3 linked regions of the Elephas maximus indicus genome follow. The protein of the gene in region 3 interacts with the protein of the main gene of each other region in a biochemical or structural test. Links are inferred from orthologs where the notes say so. Each region holds a gene or a part of one and is shown on either strand. Other genes may lie near its edges.

Region 1 (3,749 bases), on a different chromosome or scaffold from region 3:
CTAGCTCAGGACCTTTGCACTAACTCTTTATTCCAAATGAAACATTCTTCCTCATATGCCTTCCCTCTGACTGGCACATTGTTCCCCCATCTCTCCACATGGCCCTCTCCCAGATCTAATTTCCTGTCTCCAATGTCCCACTCAACCACCCATCACCACCAAAGAATGTAAGCGCCAAGAAGGGGGTCCTCGTTTCTTTGCAGCTGTATCACCAAGACCTAAAACACGACGTGGTGCCCAAGGGATGTGAACTAAATAAGTTACACAGATTAATTCTATCAGGCATTGTTCTGGGCGCTTTACCTTTCTTGACTCGATTACTCTCCATAACACCAGGTGAGGTAGGCACTATCATTTCCAATCGTATTTCAGAGAAGAGACTAACGTTAAAGCATATTACAAATAGAAAGTAAATATGTATGTTGTTGGGTGCCATCCAGTCCGTTCCGACTCAGCGACCCTATATGACAGAGTAGAACTGCCCCCATAGGACTTCCAAGGAGCAGCTGGTGGATTTGAACTGCTGACCCTTTGGTTAGCAACCGAGCTCTTAACCACTATGTCACCAGGGCTCCAAATACTATATACAATCCCCCCTTTATTTTGTACAGGTGATAACGGCTGCGGTCCTCCCGATCTACTTCCCTGAGCGGCGTTCTGGCATGAAAATATGTTAGGGTTTGAGAGTTCACCTGAGCATGGTTCGAAAGTTTATGTTTCTTTAATACGGCTTTTTTCCCCCAAATTGCCCACAGGTACTCACAGTTGGGATCTCGAAATTAAGTACCCGCTTCATTGTCCTCTGAACTACCAAGCGGAAAGGGCGGGGCTCGCGTTGTGCCACCTAGCGGACGGTGAAGCCGTAAGGCGATCCTCATGGGAATGTGCCGTACATTTCAACTCTTTCACGTCTAAGAAATCACACCCCAGCAAAGGTTTAAGGAACCTCTTTAAATATTCGGTCGTGATAGTTTCAGAGTGTATTCGTGCGGAGCTGTCAAATTATGTTGCGTGGCGGAGGGGACGTGTCGTGCGATTTCAACAGCTGTTTCGGCTACATGGCGCTGCCATCTTAAGCAGAAGTGAATCATGGGAGCCACCATTTTGGTCGGGCGGGCGGGTATTTCCGGTTCCGGCAGTGGGTTCCTCGATCTTTTTCTACGCAGGGCCGCGGCGAGAGCGCCGGTGCTGCTGGTCTCTCTGAGCTATCTGGTGCCATCCTCGTCGCTGCGGCGACCCTCGCACCCGCCGCCGTCATGACTGAGCAAATGACCCTTCGTGGCACCCTCAAGGGCCACAACGGATGGGTTACCCAGATCGCTACCACTCCACAGTTCCCGGACATGATACTGTCTGCCTCGCGAGGTACGTACTGAGGTGCAGGAGGAGGGTTGCGCGCCTTACGAGGCTGGGCTGTGGTGCGCGAGTCGCGGGTCCGAAAGACTCCGCCGGGGTTTGAGGGGGGACATGTGACCCGGCTGAGCCCGGTAAGGCATTCCCATCATTGCTAATGAAGTACCGAGGAACAGCCTGTGGCCGCCAGGAGGGTGGGAGGTTTCTTTATAGCCTTCACGCTTCTGCACGGTGTAGCTAGTTGTGCCCACGAGCCTACAGGCCTGGCGGAGCGGTGATGATTACAACATGCCATCTGAGCATAGGTGCTGAGACCCAGAGGCTGTTTCTGAGCTGTCGCCCGGCCCTCGGCTCTTTTGGGAATTGGTGGTCTCCAGGGGAGCTCCATGGCACAAACCTGGATTTGACCGGCACCTACTCTATGCCCTGGCTTCTCTTCCTCTCATTCTCGGTCGGCCTGAGTGCGTTTGGAGGCTTCCTGTGCTTTCCAAATGCTCCCACACTGGGAGTTTTTTGAAGCTAGGATTAGGGCTGGCCCTTAATTGTAAAGTTTATAGTGTAGGACACGTTTTAGTGAAATCATCCAACCCTGTAGCGTGCAGAACAACTTTCCAACACTGATTCACTTCTGGCAATCCTCAAAAATAGTCCCGGTGCCCACGACGAGTCCTCTACACCCAGGCTGCTCTGTTTCTGCATTAGACCTCAGATAGGACACGAAAGGGTTATTGAATTGATCTCAGTCTCAGCCCCTAGCAAAATTCTGAACCCCTGATTTACATTTGTATGAAAGACTTTTTAGTTTTATCTCTCTATTCCAGCAAGTAACTTCTTACTAGCGTATAGTTTACCTCCTTGTCAAGCTTCTCTGTAATTTGTCATCTTGTAAACCCATGACCTCGAGACATTTTGGATTATCCAGTAATCAGCAAGGTAGCTGCAGAGTTCAGACTGGCAGGATGGCTAGTATAGAGGAGGGCAGAGTTTCTCAATGGGTTTACTTTTTGTTTTATCTCTCCTTAGATAAGACTATCATCATGTGGAAGCTGACTAGGGATGAGACCAACTATGGCATCCCCCAGCGTGCTCTGCGTGGCCACTCTCACTTTGTTAGTGACGTGGTTATCTCCTCTGATGGCCAGTTTGCCCTCTCTGGCTCCTGGGATGGGACACTGCGCCTCTGGGATCTCACAACGCAAGTACCTGCTCGCTTAGCTTTGGGGCCTTGGGGGGAAAGCTGGGCAGAAATGAGGAAAATGGCTGAGTCCTCCCTCCTTGGTTGATTCAGACTCAGAGAGACCCTAGAAGACAGTAGAACTGCCCCATAGGGTTTCCAAGGCTATAAATCTTTACAGAAGCAGACAGCCACATCTTTCTCCTGTGGAGTGGCTGGTGGGTTCAAACCACCAACCTTTGGTTAGCAGCCAAGCGTTATAACAACAGTGCCATGTGGGCAATTTGAATTGAGTGAAGCAGTTAGGAGTACACACAGTGGTTTGAAAATGTTTGGCCTTGGTAGCTCTGTCCTGGGTGTTGGTCAGCTGGTGACAATTATAATGGAGCATCCTGGTGATGACAGATGACATTGTCAGCTGATCCCCATGTGGGAGTGAGGACATGTCCTGCAATTCTGAGGGATTCTCTGGCATATACTCAGACAAAAGCTTGCTGTGGTCAGAGCCATAGCTTGGGTTATCTGAGTAAAGAAAATCCCCTGGGGACAGGGACAAGGCCCGGAAAATGATGTGACTGTGGTAGGAGAAAGTTTGCAAGGTGTCTGTAGAGAGTGACCAGGTCCTCCTTCTCAGGGGCACCACCACACGACGATTTGTGGGCCATACTAAGGATGTGCTGAGTGTGGCCTTCTCTTCTGACAACCGGCAAATTGTCTCTGGCTCCCGAGATAAAACCATCAAGCTGTGGAATACTCTGGGTGTCTGCAAGTACACTGTACAGGTAAAGTGAAGGCATGGGGGAAAGAGTGCATCTTTGAGGTTCATTCCCGCTCTTCCTCTTAAACGTTAATCACGTGTGGTGGTTTCAAGTATTGTCTGGCATCTAAAAGTTTCGGGACGAGAATATAAGACTGCTAGCATCCATCTCACATAGCTGAGAGGAGGAATAGTGGTCTAGAGTTTCATGGGCCAGAATGTTTCCCCTTATTTCTCTGTCTCCTGTAGGATGAGAGCCACTCGGAGTGGGTGTCTTGCGTCCGCTTCTCCCCCAACAGCAGCAACCCCATCATCGTTTCCTGTGGCTGGGATAAGTTGGTCAAGGTGAGCTTGGAACCAGGGCCACAAGGCCTTTACCAGCCAGAAACTGCTCCCATTGCATCTAGATGGTCATAGGCTCCAACTCGGAAACCTTTGCAGATTCTCTCCTGAGACATTTCTGTC
Region 2 (3,749 bases), on a different chromosome or scaffold from region 3:
CTCATACAGCAGGTAGAAGCTACTCTATAGTCCAGGTACACCTGAAACACGTCAATCTACCTCTCCATCTTGGTTTCATTTTTTCAGCACCCAAAGCTCCAGTTTGTTGGCACAGCCACAAGATGGGGTGGACTGCCCCAAGGAAGGCAGGCCCCGACTAACGGTCTAAGAATGCTCAGGTTTCATTTCACAGACTGGTATGGATAGTATGAAAAGGCCAGGGCTGCTGTGACAAATGATGCTGAGGGGGCATATATATGACGGGTTTGATGAAGAATGCCAGATACAGCTTTGTCTAAAGAGCTAATGGACTCTGCCATAAAGAGGAAATTAGTCCTGATACGTGCTACAACATGGAGGAACCTTGAAAACATTATGCTGAGTGAAGTAAGGCAGTCATGAAAGGATAAACACTGTATGATCCCACTTATGTGCAAATAGTAGGCAAATTAATATAGAGACCAAGGTCTATTAGTGGTTACCAGGGATGGGAGGGAGGTAGAATGAGGAATCTTAGCTTAGGGGGCTATGAGTATCTGTTTATGGTGGTAGAATAATTTTGAAATGGATAGTAGAGATGGTTGCACAACATGATGTCACTGAATTGTACCTGTAAAATATGCTGAATTGGCAAATGTTTTGTTATATGTATTTTTACAACAAAATAATTTTTTTAATGAGTTAATGGAAATCATTTTAGGTAGCTTAAGACCAGATTTCCACATAATCGCCTGCTGGATTATGTCAACATGTTAAGGGAGAGCAGAGCAGTGATCGGCCGCTGTGAGCAAAAACAGAAATAATCACTGAACTTTCAGAGCACTTTATGGGAGCTCTGCTGCCCCCTTTGGTCTGCTAAGAAATTGGGCCAACTGTCTGTTTTCTGTGCTCACTGCAATCATCCTGGGACTTTGTTGACTTTGCCCTTCTCACCTGAAGTGATTGTCCCTCCCTCCCTCTCCCCCTCACTAGGGAAAGCCTCTTGGGTATCTGATTTTTTGGTATATTAAGGGTCACACTTCTCAAAATCAGTGCCTGAGCTCACCCCTTTGGATACAATGTAGATACGGCAGGGAGTCAGCTCATTTGGCAAAATGAACATCCAAACAAAACAGTTATGGTCCCCCAGGCAGGGGCAGATTATCCAATAGGCAAGGTAAGCACAGTGCTTACCTTGCTCAACAGATCATCTTTAGTGAATACTTTCACATTTTTTCACCACATCGAAGATTCTGCTTCTAGGTATGGCTAGCATCTGTCTCTGTCCCAACCCCACAGCACCCTCCTATGGAATCAAAGCCTTTTTTCAAATTTACAATCTCTGACAGGGGTAGATTATCAAGTCAGCAAGGTTAGCATGGGTTTAATTGAGCTTACTTACAAATCTGTAGTGAACAATTTCTACATCTTTGATGTGGTGAAACCCATTGGAACAATGATGAGCCTGTTAAACTGTCAACTTTGGTTTTTAATGAGTGAGATCTTACTCAACAGAGGAGCCTGTATGGACAATTTTTCATACCTGGGCTTTGTTTCATAATTATTTCCAATGATAACCAAACCAGGAGTTTTACTCCATAAAGAGACTACAGTGTTTTTCCAAAATAACAGAAAAAGAAGAAAAAAGTGATAATCTCAGGCTTGCCATACTGTCAGGGGTGAAACCCCAACATCCAAAGAGAAAAATTTTGCAAGCATCAAGATGTATCCATGAAGATGGTTCAGTGTTTGTAATAGAAATAAACTACAAATATCATGTGCTAAGACAAGCCTTTTTTTTTAATAGAGGGAGTTGTCTGTACTTTTTTAATTTTTATTGTGTTTTAAGTGAAAGTTTACAAACCAAGTCAGTATCTCATACAAAAACTTATATGCACCTTGCTATATACTCCTAGTTGCTCTCCCTTTAACCAGACAGCACATTCCTTCCCTCCACTCTCTTTTTTCGTGTCCATTCAGCCCACTTCTGACCCTCTCGTCTCCTCTCCAGACAGGAGGTGCCCACATAGTCTCATGTGTCTACTTTATCCAAGGAGCTCACTCTTCACCAGTACCATTTTCTATCCCACAGTCCAGTCCAATCCCTATCTGAAGAGTTGGCTTTGGGAATGGTTTCCGTCTAGGGCTAACAGAAGGTCGGAGGACCCTGACCTCTGGAGTCCTTCTAGTCTCGGTCAGACCATTAAGTCTGGTCTTTTTACGAGAATTTGAGGCCTGCATCCCACTGCTCTGCTCCCTCAGAGGTTCTCTGCTGTGTTCCCTGTCGGGGCAGTCATCGGTTGTAGCCAGGCACCATCTAGTTCTTCTGGTCTCAGGCTGTTGTAGTCTCTCATTTATGTGGCCCTTTCTGTCTCTTGGGCTCATAATTACCTTGTGCCTTTGGTGTTCTTCATTCTACTTTGATCCAGATGGCTTGAGACCAATTGATGCATCTTAGATGGCCGCTTGCTAGCGTTTAAGACCCCAGACGCCTCTCTCCAAAGTGGGATGCAGACTGTTTTCTTAATAGATTTTATTATGCCAATTGACTTCGATGTTACCTGAAACCATGGTCCCCAAACGCCTACCCCTGCTACACGAGCCCTCGAAACATTCAGTTTATTCAGGAAATTTCTTTGCTTTTGATTTAGTCCAGTTGTGCTGACCTCGTCTGAATTGTATGTTGTCTTTCCCTTTACCTAAAGTAGTTCCTATCTACTATTTAATTAGTGAATACCCCTCCCACCCTCCCTCCTCTCGTAACCATCAAAGATTATTTTCTTCTCTGTTTAAACTATTTCTTGACTTCTTAAAATAGTGGTCTCATACAATATTTGTCCTTTTGCAACTGACTAATTTCAGCATAATCCCTTCAAGATTCCTCCATGTTATGAAATATTTCATGGATTCATCATTGTTCTTTATCGATGTGTGGTATTCCATTGTGTGACTATACCATAATTTATCCATTCATTTGTTGATGGGCACCTTGGTTACTTCCATCTTTTTGCTATCGTAAACAATGCTGCAATGAACATGGGTGTGCATATATCTGTTCTTGTAGAGGCTCTTATTTCTCCAGGATATATTCCAAGGAGTGGGATTACTGGATCGTATAGTAGTTCTATTTCTAGCTTTTTAAGGAAGCACCAAATTGATTTCCAAAGTGGTTGTACCATTTTACATTTCCACCAGCAGTGTATAAGTGTTCCAGTCTCTCCACAACCTCTCTAACATTCATTATTTTTGGATTAATGCCAGCTTTGTTGGAGTGAGAGACACATGTCATCTTGGTAGGCATTTTGTTCGTGTGTTGATGTGACAGTCTCCAATCCGAAACAGAAAAGGGGGTCAATCGAAGATTTTAAATACTATTTTGGCATATTTTACTTCATATTTACAGTAAAAAACTTCTGTGACCTTATGGCATCTACCACTCTATTTGCAATTAACTGTTAATTTTTCTGATGACCCAGTGCATATCACATAGTTAAAGAAAGACCAAAAACAAAACGAAACAAAATCAGTTGCCATTGAGTCAGTTCTGACTCATGGTGACCCCATGTGTGTCAGAGTAGAACTGTGCTCCATAGGGTTTTCAATGGCTGATTTTTCAGAAGTAGGTTGTCAGGCTTTTCTTCTGAGGAGCTTCTGGGTGGACTTCAACATCCAGCCTCTCAGTAAGCATTTAAGTGCATTAGCCATTTGCACCACCCAGGAATTCCTGAGGAAAGACAGATGCTGGGAACCCATTGCTGCCAACAGCAAAA
Region 3 (3,749 bases):
TACCATGCCACCAAGCATTCTGCACAACTGACATTGGTGCCTACACTCACCGGGGAACACTTTACTTTTCCCGAAGGGTGGAAGTGCAACCACAAGGCTGTCATTCAGTGATAACTCACATCTTAGACTCTTTATGTTCAAAGGCTTTCTTCTTCTGGCTTTCACCCAGCTCACCATAATGGTCAGTTTAACCCTAAGGCACACCCCAGAAATAAGACATTTCTCACCAAACTGGCCTAAGATTAAAAAAAAAAAAAAAAAGATTAGGGGAGAAAAAACTTTCCAGAGGAGAGGTTGCAAACTAAATACCTACAGGGGCCAGAAATGAGTGAAGCAAGTCTGCTCAGGATTGATTGTGACAAAATACTGAATGTGTGTGCCCTGTCTTTGAAAATAATTTGCTCTCCAGCTCCAAAAAGGATTGCTGTAACAAGAAAAAGTGGGACCATTTCTCAGCAAAACTGGAAATTCTGATTTGTAGGTGAAATCTCCCAGTTCTAAAATGTTGGCCAAAATAAAAAAATGTCTAAGAACTCCCTAAGGGCTGAACCTGGGTTGTACAAACAGTTAAGGATGGACTTCTAGCCCAAAGGGTGGCAGTTCAAAACCAGAGGCACCTTGGAAGATAAGTCTGATAATCTGCTTTCAAAAGGCCACAGCCCTGAAAACCATAGGGAGCAGTTCAACTCTGCACAAATGGGGTCACCGTGAGTCTGAGTCTTCTGAATGGCACCTACCAACAACAACAAGGGCTGAACAAGCCTACAGGTGATTTGACCCTGGGCAGCCAATTTGCAACCTATGTTTTATGACAGTAACCCGACACAGCCAAGGTCCCCTCACACATGATTAAAAGTCACCACCATGGAGTGGAACATCTCAGGTTAGAGTCAAGGATCCCAACCCAGATGCAAGGATGGAGGAAACCAGTAACTTGAAGTCCTAGCTGTATCTACCCAGAAGACAGAAAGGATGATTTGAACGAGGATCTGAGAGGTACCCATCTGGAGCCACCTCTTTCAGAGGGAGGAGGCCCAGGGGACAACCACAGTTGCCTTTCTAGGGGAGGCACCATCTGCAGAGAAGGCAGCCACATGCAGAGCTCTCTGGGAGGTGGGGGAAGAGGCAGAACCTCACTCTAGGAGACAAGGAAGGGCAAGTGAGTACCTGAGGGGGCATGAGTTAGAGAGGAGGAATCCTCCCAGAAATGGCCCCTGGAGACACTTCCTGCAGAGGCAGGACTGGCAACACCATGGAAGATTCAGGAGACCCATTCTGACTCTTCAGATGCTTGAAAGGGAGAAAGAGTGGATAGCACTTCCTTGCCATTTAGGGCCTCCCAGTTCCATCAGCCTTTCTGGGACAGAGCATCACTGCCCCTCACACACACACACACACACACACACACCTTAAAAGGACCCTTTTTCGCGATGAATTCCTAGCCTGGAGGTCACTCTGACGGAAGTGGTTCCTTAGATCTAACTCGCTCACTTCTACAGACCCTTTCACCATTTCTTCCCACAAAGGGCATCCCCAGAACCCCATAGCCCCAGGACCCTGGTGCCTACCTTGGCACTGGAACCCTTGCTTTCCGAAGCCCCTGCAAAGGCAGAAAGAGATAACGTCAGGGAGCCCACAGCCGCCTGCTAGTTCCCCCACAGTCCCCCCTCCACCCTACCCCTTTACCCCAGGTGCAACCTCCTAGCCGCAGGCGAGTGCCCGAGAGGCTTCCGCCTTTGGGGGGTAGGTGGGAACTCGGCGGTAACCTCAACCTCCCCTCACCCTGGCAGAGGGGAGGTGACAGCGACCACCGGGTGTGTGTGTGTGTGTTGTGGGGGAGGATTGCATTTCCATCCGGTGGGAGTGGAGAGCAAAAGGGAGATCTACCCACAGATGCCCCGAGTACCCTCGGGGAAAGAGAAGCTGTAAAGACGCACCCAGAGAAGGATGAGAGGGGAAGGAGACCTGGGGGGACTGGGAAGGGAGAAAGGAGCCCCATGCCTGGATGGACGGGAGCGAAGAGGGTTCGCGATGACAGGGGAGGACTGGGGAGTGGAAAGGGCCACTCCAGGCCCCTAGGGAGGCGCGATAAAAGAGAACATGGAGCGCGGCATGCTGCCCCCCGAGACACTGAGAGCAGAAAAGGATGCCCCATGCCCACAAGGCGCTGGAGAGAAGACACCCGGAGCACTGCCCCCGGAAACGGGGTGGGGGTAAGGGCGCCTCCCGCCTGGAAGGAGACAGAGAGAGGGGTAACCCAGGGCAAGAGGGCACCCGAAGCGCTGCTCTCCCCCGGACGGACAGGCGCCCCGCGCTCGGAGCCAGGTGGAGGGGAAGGCGCCCGCGGCGCTGGCCGGCTGCTCTCGGGAGGGACCGGGGAAGAAGCGAGGGCAGGAGGCTCCGCGCGGCCAGCCGTCTGGGGCCGGGGAGAGGGACGCCACAGAACAGTCCGCCGGGAGTCCGGAGCAGAAGCGTCCGGCGCGGGGAGCTTGGGGACACGGGGCCCCTGGGGGCGCGAGAGGATCCCCGCGCGCGGCGCTGCCCTCGGGGGCCGGGCAGGCACCCTGCGCCGGGCGCGCTCTCACCAGATGAAGTCGGTGCAGTGGCTGCAGAAGGTGGGTTGCTTGAAGAAGCGGGCGGTGAATTTGTGGTTCTTCACCTCGTGCACGTTCTTCTGCCGGAGGGCGCCTTTGCGGGCGAAGCGCACCGTGCCCTCCTCGCCCTCGCTTGGCGATGGCCCCGCAGCCGGGTCAGCCATCTTGCGCGCGGGGAGCGGGAGCCCGAGAGGGGCCAGCCCCGGGGCGGCGGGCTGCGGGCCCGCGAGGCCGGAGGAGGCGGCCGCTGCTGCTGCCGGGGCCGCGGGCTCTTCCCCTGCGCCGGCTCTGGCGGCCGCGGCGCGCGGAGCTGGGGCTGTCACTCGCCCAGCTGCCGCCGCTCGTCCAGCTGCGCTTGGCACCGCTGGCCCCAGCTGCGGAGGAGGGAGGCGGAGCCGGGGCTGACCCCGCCTCCCTCATTTGCATCGGGCCCAGGCCCCGCCCCGCGCCGCCAGCTGCTTTACATATTGGCACCCCGGCAGCGGCCGACCTCCGAGCGAAGTGTCCTCAGCCGCAGCTCTGCGGCGCGGTTACTGCAGCCCGCCCTCGTCAGCCCTGAGCCCCGACCCCTCACCCCGGCCTCGGCCCGCGGCTGCGTTGAGGAGATGAGCACCTAGAGGGCACCCAGGCGGTACCGAGAGCGGAAGCACCCGACGGGGGCTGGGGGACCGGTGGGTGGAAAGGGTGGACACCGCGGGTTCCACACTGGCCTCTGCAGAGACTGGTACCCATCCACCCCCATTCATATCATTGGTCATTCTGCACGCCTCTCCTGTCACTCATTCGGAAAGGCCTGTGGCTGGCTCCCCACACTTGAACACACCTACACACATACACACACACGTTCTGCAGAAGTAGGAGGAGCGACATTGTACGTATATGTATATATGTATATGTATGCATGTTATGTATATGTATATGTATATGTATATGTATATGTATATGTATATGTATATGTATATGTATATGTATATGTATATGTATATGTATATGTATATGTATATGTATATGTATATGTATATGTATATGTATATGTATATGTATATGTATATGTATATGTATATGTATATGTATATGTATATGTATATATCCACCACCTGGAGCCCTGGTGGCGCAACGGTTAAGCGCTCAGCTGCTAACCAAAAGGCTGGCGGT

Evidence for each region.
Region 1: the proteins of PRKCB (region 3) and RACK1 form a complex in vitro, tested with the Homo sapiens proteins (2 studies listed by BioGRID). The link is inferred for Elephas maximus indicus from reciprocal best matches to the Homo sapiens genes PRKCB and RACK1.
Region 2: of the proteins of PRKCB (region 3) and RASGRP3, one has a biochemical effect on the other in vitro, tested with the Homo sapiens proteins (2 studies listed by BioGRID). The link is inferred for Elephas maximus indicus from reciprocal best matches to the Homo sapiens genes PRKCB and RASGRP3.

What each region holds. Positions count from the first base shown.
Region 1 is NC_064820.1:199,939,091-199,942,839, forward strand, and holds the start of RACK1 (receptor of activated protein C kinase 1), read left to right. Parts: upstream 1-1,204; 5' UTR 1,205-1,256; coding exon 1,257-1,365; intron 1,366-1,621; exon of another isoform or gene 1,622-1,689; intron 1,690-2,376; coding exon 2,377-2,548; intron 2,549-2,916; exon of another isoform or gene 2,917-2,992; intron 2,993-3,161; coding exon 3,162-3,309; intron 3,310-3,533; coding exon 3,534-3,629; intron 3,630-3,749. Other genes in the region: uncharacterized protein LOC126067361, read left to right, coding at 756-1,204. UniProt on the Homo sapiens protein: Scaffolding protein involved in the recruitment, assembly and/or regulation of a variety of signaling molecules. Interacts with a wide variety of proteins and plays a role in many cellular processes.
Region 2 is NC_064844.1:33,288,450-33,292,198, forward strand, and holds the start of RASGRP3 (ras guanyl-releasing protein 3), read right to left. Parts: upstream 2,701-3,749; 5' UTR 1-2,700. UniProt on the Homo sapiens protein: Guanine nucleotide exchange factor (GEF) for Ras and Rap1.
Region 3 is NC_064830.1:84,018,844-84,022,592, reverse strand, and holds the start of PRKCB (protein kinase C beta type), read right to left. Parts: upstream 2,966-3,749; 5' UTR 2,759-2,965; coding exon 2,586-2,758; intron 1,601-2,585; coding exon 1,569-1,600; intron 1-1,568. UniProt on the Homo sapiens protein: Calcium-activated, phospholipid- and diacylglycerol (DAG)-dependent serine/threonine-protein kinase involved in various cellular processes such as regulation of the B-cell receptor (BCR) signalosome, oxidative stress-induced apoptosis, androgen receptor-dependent transcription regulation, insulin signaling and endothelial cells proliferation.